Linked DNA regions of Macaca fascicularis. The protein of the gene in region 2 interacts with the protein of the main gene of each other region in a pairwise test. Links are inferred from orthologs where the notes say so. Each region holds a gene or a part of one and is shown on either strand. Other genes may lie near its edges.

What was found.
Region 1: the proteins of NUP62CL (region 2) and OGT interact in binary tests that used the Homo sapiens proteins (3 or more experiments, as listed by UniProt). The two-hybrid records come from large-scale screens. The link is inferred for Macaca fascicularis from reciprocal best matches to the Homo sapiens genes NUP62CL and OGT.

Annotation. Positions count from the first base shown.
Region 1 is NC_088395.1:78,293,559-78,296,447, reverse strand, and holds the end of OGT (UDP-N-acetylglucosamine--peptide N-acetylglucosaminyltransferase 110 kDa subunit), read right to left. Parts: intron 2,839-2,889; coding exon 2,664-2,838; 3' UTR 554-2,663; downstream 1-553. UniProt on the Homo sapiens protein: Catalyzes the transfer of a single N-acetylglucosamine from UDP-GlcNAc to a serine or threonine residue in cytoplasmic and nuclear proteins resulting in their modification with a beta-linked N-acetylglucosamine (O-GlcNAc).
Region 2 is NC_088395.1:113,743,416-113,747,080, reverse strand, and holds part of NUP62CL (nucleoporin-62 C-terminal-like protein), read left to right. Parts: intron 1-864; coding exon 865-1,015; intron 1,016-1,606; coding exon 1,607-1,656; intron 1,657-1,801; coding exon 1,802-1,936; intron 1,937-3,665.

The DNA.
Region 1 (2,889 bases), about 35 Mb from region 2:
AAGACTACGAGGGTAAATGAAAGCAGAAAGGTCATAAGCAAAAGAGGAGCAAGCATGAATGGGTGTGTTGGGGATCACAGGCTGTCGTCCAGGTTGGAGTGCAATGGCACGATCTCAGTTCATTGCAACCTCCACCTCCTGGGTTCAAGCGATTCTCCTGTCTCAGCCTCACATGTAGCTGGGATTACAAGCGTGTGTGCCACCACTCCCGGCTAGTTTTCTGTATTTTTAGTAGAGACGGAGTTTCACCATGTTAGCCAGGCTGGTCTTGAACTCCTGACCTCAAGTGATCCACCTGCCTCGGCCTCCCAAAGTGCTGGGGTTACAGGCGTGAGCCACCACATCCAGCCACTTTGCCGCCTTAATGGATCATAAACTAACCCACCACCCTCCACCAGACCTGGCTGAGAAAACAATTCCTAATATCATAGCTACAGAAGGGAAATTTGGTCCTTTGCTGCTGTTTGAGGCTGTTCAAATACAGGTTTCATCACTGGATGACCCTATTCATCAAGCCACTCAATATAACAGGACACAAAATACATCAGCCGTATTAAGGGGAAATCATTTATTGTTTAAGGATCGCAAGACAACATCTTAATTTCTGTAGCACGATTTAAATGTTTTACTTCTTTGATAAAGCAGAGTACAATAGAAAAAAAAAAAAAAACAATTAGTTTCCAGTAATATCTATATCTCTAATCAGAATTAAGTCTTCCACAGACATGTTACCTGGAAATAAAAGCCTGTTACAATAAGCAAAGCTTCAACCAGAGCGGCTACTTTTCGTGCCAGGAAAAAGTTCATCCCTGTAGGAGGAATGATGTGCTATGTAAAATGGCTGTAAGGTCACAGCCTTGAGGGCATTGGAAGTATATTACCCTATTCCACATTAAGTAGTTCGGTGAATTTCAAACGTCAGTTTATCTGCAACCATGCTGGCAACCTTTAACTGGTATTTCAATCATCCAGTAAAAAATAAATTAAGAAATCCCTTCACGGATATTCCGTGATTTACATTGTTAAAAGGTACACTGTTCATTAACATGTAATTCTGGTTCAGAATTACCTTTGAGACTCCTAGCTCAAAATTTGGTTAACAGTAAGCATCTTTCAGAAATGCAAGTTCTTATTAATCAATAATTTGTCAGCTAGGATACATTCAGGCATCAGCTGCAACTACAGAATAGGTGCACAGCCTCAGCGCTTTGGAAAGACATAATCTAGAACACTACTGGCAGACAAAAAATTACCTGCGACTGGATAGCGTAAGTGCAGTACAGCGAGACAAAACATATATTCATATGTTGGCTTGTTTAAGCCTCAAACCCTCGACTCTGTTGAGATCCCATAATTTTATTCCTATGACTTTAATAACTCAAGTTCCAGGAGGACTATAAGTCTAATTTGTACTCCAAACCAAATAGCAGTGCAGTTTGCTACTATTGAGGCTGAATCTGTACAGACTTCAAGACCAAGTCCAGAATATCTAAAATATAATTACTTGAATACACAGATGGTCCTTCAGAGATTTTACCTATAACCTGTTTCTTGATGAAGGTTATTTAATGCACTGGAGATAACTGTGACTTACTGATCAAATACTTGAATACTTATACTTACCTGGGATTTCATTTCTGCTGAAAGAAATAGGAAGAACAGGACTCACTTTAAGAAAAAAAAAAAAAAACTTTAGAAAGGAAGGTAAAAATCTTACACACACTATCACTTTTGGAAGCAGCATAGAAGGGGCAGTCAAGGGTAAAACACTGGTGAAACAGGTCAAAATTAGGCCAAAAAAAAAAAAAAAAACTATATTATTATCAATGACAGTACCACAACTGTGCCCTTGATAATTAGTCATCACTCCTAAAAATTTTCATTTGGCACCAGATGGCGTGTTTAAGAGAAACACCCTAGGATGTTTTGAATCAGACTTGATTTTGTTAGTTGAGTTACAGGAGAATTTTAAGGGTGGGGGTATGGGGGTCAGGGAAGAGAAGGAAATGGGAAATGGACCAGAAAAAATCTTGAGTCATCATCTAAATCAACAAAGCACTGATAGCTCCAAACATTAGGTCAGACACTAAAACGACTGATATAGGCTCAAGTGGTTTATAAAACCTATAAAAAGACTACACCAGCAAAGTCCCTGTCGATCTGTCAGAGTTCAGAAACTAAAACAGGGAGTAACATTTTAGCTTAAAACCTTATCTCAAGAGAATCATATACACTTCACATGAATAAAAATACCTGAAACCAAACATTTTTAAAAGCTCCAGTACCCAAAATATAAAGAAAAAAGTTAATCCAGAAGACTGAATCAATCCATGGAATCACAAAGCGGCCGGACAATCTATATCTCCCCTCCACACTAACCATCCCATGGAAGAGACCAAGGGAGATCAGACCTTCCAGACCTATGCACCATCTGGTCGCTGCAAAATTCTACGGAGATTCCTTGTGGAACAGCAGTTTCCCATCTCTTGTGTCTCTCCCTACCATGCAGGAAGCAAGTCTGGCTGTGCTATTCTATTACCATTATATATCACCCATCTGCAACAAGGTACTGTACAGACAAGTAAGAAGTATGTTATCTAGTTCCCTTTCCCCCAGAAGGTTGAGGCTCAGGTATAGGGGTAATTCTCCTGTGCAGTCTTTATTTATGCTGACTCAGTGACTTCAACAGGCTTAATCATGTGGTCAGGTTTGTTGCCAGCTGCATAATGCTCCCACATCTGTAGATAGAGCCGCTCTAGTTCCATTGTGTATTGTTTGGTGTTGAACAGAGGGCTAGATATTCTTTGTTTCCAGACTTTGCCACGAATTTTCTTCAGGCTGAGTAATAAAAAACGAGAAACCAGTTTACAAATCAGGGCAGAAAACTCA
Region 2 (3,665 bases):
GGATGGTAGGAAGTGGGATCCCTACAGGTCCTAACTTGAATTACCTTGTTCAGTTGTAATGATGCTGGGTGGGTATAGAGATTCAGCTCCCCACTGGGTCTCTCTGACACCAGAGGCAAGAGGTGAAGCCTAATGGTGACTAAACCCTGCCTCTTCTGCCTCATTGAGCCTTGTTGCTACTGGGTAGGAATTTAGGTTCAACTTGTCATTGGATCCCACAGAAAGAACCCTGGTGGAGGAACTGGAATTGTGCCTGTGTCTTCCACTTAGGAAATTGATGATTACCTTCCCACTGAGCCCTGCTGACACTGCCCCAGCAGAGGAATCAGCATTGACTGGCTCTGCTGGCCAAGGGATCAAAGATTAGCTAGTTACTGAGCCTTTTTTGATACCACTTGGCAGGGGAATCAGAGTTCTACATGGTTCTGCCCAGTGGGGAATGCCCACTCTCTTGTGGATACTTCTCAGACAGGGAATGGGTCACTTTGACTAAGAGCTGGGGGAGAGAGAATCCTATCTCCTTAGCTATGCCTACCCAGAAAGGAGCTTCTGTCATGCTGAGCTGGGATGAGGGGAAGAGAAAGAGCAGATTATGGCACAGACTTTAGCTATTCTTGCTGTGATTTAGTAGGTTTCTTAATAAATCTTTATTTACTATATTCCTCTAGGATAATTTCAAGTGACTTTGAGGGGTTGTTTTTTTAAATCATCTTTACCAGTTATGTTTGTTTTCTTGGGGTGCAGGTACGGGAAACTCCTTACATGCTGTTTTCTTCTCAGAGTCCTCCTGAGTTCATTTTTAAAATCTGATCACACTTTTTAAAGTATGATTATTGGATCATCCTGCATGCTTTTATGTTTTAGTGTAGTAGCAACTCCTGTGATGACATATGGTCACCTGGAGGGTCTTATAAATGAGTGGAACCTTGAGCTGGAAGATCAAGAGAAGTACTTTCTTCTCCAGGCCACTCAGGTCAATGCTTGGGACCGTACATTGATTGAGAATGGTGAGATGGTAAGAAGATGTTTTCATTAATCTACCTATATTGTGCAAGTATTTACGATGAACATAAGAACATAGACCTGTGTTTTGTGGTTTTCTTTGTTGTTGTTGTTTTGTTTATGTTTTTGTTTGTTGAGACAGGGTCTTGCTGTATCACCTAGGCTGGAACACAGTGGTGCAATCACAGCTCACTGCAGCCTCAATCTCCCTGGCTCAAGCAATCCTCCTACCTCAGCCTCCTAAGTAGCTGGGACCACAGGGGCACACCAGCACCCCCAGCTAATGATGTGTGTGTTTTTTCAGTAGAGATAGGGTCTCACTGCATTGCCCAGTCTGATCTCAAACTCCTAGGCTCAAGTGATCTTCTTGCCTTAGCCTCACAAAGTGCTGGGATTATAGGCATGAGCCACCATACCCAGCCCTGTGGTTAATTCTCTATTCCAATATTGGTGAGCAGTTCAAAATATATTCCTTAGGTAATAAGTACCCTGAATAAAAGGAAATCTTTCATATTTGAAGTATATTTGAGAAAATTAATATTGCTCTAAAATTGTTATATAAATTCAAATACTTATATTGTTGTATTCATATTTCTCTTTATAGATTAGTATTTTACATGGAGAAGTGAACAAAGTGAAACTGGATCAGAAAAGGTAGAACCTTAGATTTCCTTGGTTGAAAGATTAAAGACCTATCTTTTTATTCAGTGTTTTTTTTCCCTCTGTAGTTTGTTAACTCTTTTCTTTTTGTCACTCCAAATTCCTTTCATCAGCCCTTTTATTAACTTACTTTATTCAGGTTGGAACAAGAATTGGATTTTATCCTGTCAGAGCAGCAGGAACTAGAATTTCTGTTGACTTATTTAGAGGAGGCTACGAGCAACCAGAGTGGACTTCATTATCTGCAGGATGCAGATGAGGAGCGTGTGAAGACGTAAGTAACTGGATAAAGATTGAAGAATGGGGCAGGACTTACATATTACGAGAGCATTCCAGGAACAGAGGGGAAAAGTCGAATTGGAAGGCAAAGAATACAAATCGGTAGAAAGGGACAAGCTTTTGTAGTTGACATTTATCAATTTGTTTGACTGTTTTCTGCTTATCTTTTCTGGATGCTTGTAAATGAGGAAATCATTCTGGCAATTTTGTTTTATAGCATTTTGTTTATTGTTATTACTGTCAACCTTATGCATGTTCACTGTAAAGGTTTTGTATTTGTCAAATTTGTTCTTAAATTAGAAGTACAAATTTTATGTGTGTGGTGTCATGGTATTGTGGGATATTTGTGGTATCCTCTTTATGTTGATTCTGCTAAAACTAATGTTCATGCAATTGCTTTAGTGATAAATCATTTGCTATTTTAAAGGCAATTTGTTAATCTGGAGGCAAACTGTATAGCTTTCAAAAATGGAGTGATTTTGTCAGTGTATTAGGAGGGCTATATTTTATTTGTGAACTCTTCAGTCTTTACCTTCTGTCAGTACAGTGCCAATGTTTCCGAAGTAACTTTATTTCTCTGGAACTGAGGTTTGGTAGTCTGTCAATTTATTAAGTATTAGAATTTGTATGAATGAACAACATAATCTAGACTGAGACTAAATTGGACACATTTTATCAATAACTTATTATGAGTTAAGACTGGGCCTATTTTTAACATGCTTGCAAGTTAACTTTTTTGTAGGAGCATTAAATGTGGTAAGTACAACTAATCTGTATTAACCTAAACCAGTTTCTGCTTTTGTATTTCAACCTTTGTGAATTTTTCTTTTCTTTGTATTGCTTTCTATGCATTCTATCATTTTTTTGAAACATATAGAGTTACATTTTTGGCCATAAGATCCTAACTATAGTTTGAAGAAATCTTCATGACATTAGTTCCTTTCCAGTTGCTCTTTTGTAGTCAGATATATATTCAAGATGAAGTCTTGCTCTGTCGCCCAGGCTGGAGTGCAGTGGCACGATCTCGGCTCACTGCAACCTCTGCCTCCTGGGTTCAAGCGATTCTTCTGCCTCAGCCTCCTGAGTAGCTGGGATTACAGGCACGTGCCACCACACCCAGCTAATTTTTGGTATTTTTAGTAGAGACGGGGTTTCACCATGTTGGCCAGGCTGGTCTCGAACTCCTGACTTCATAATCCACTCTCCTCGGCCTCCCAAAGTGCTGGGATTACAGGCATGAGCCACCACACCCGGCCCAGATTTATATTGTGATGAAATATTTACCAGAATCTTCAACAATCTAGGCAACCAATTCTATGGCATAAGTACTATGCCATAGAAAGGCAGTAGATAGTTGTTACCTACAAATCTAATTGACTCTTTAAATCTTTATACACATTAAGGTTGAAAAATCCTCTGGCCACTTTAATTCTTATAAACATATTTATTGACTGGGTCGTGTGTGTGTAGTTTGTGTGGAAATCTTGAGAATTTAGGCAACTAGTGAACTTAGCAGATTTGTCTATCTTTGATTATCATGAAGCTCATTTCTCAAAACATCTTTTTTGCCTGATGGAGTATATTTATATGAGGTTTTATTTTGCAAATTTGTGTATTCAAGATCATTGAAGACATCTCAGCATTTATTGAATATTGCCAAACCCTAAATAACTTCTCTTTTGTATGTAAATGTCCTGTAGGTGTATTTTGACACCTTAAAGGAT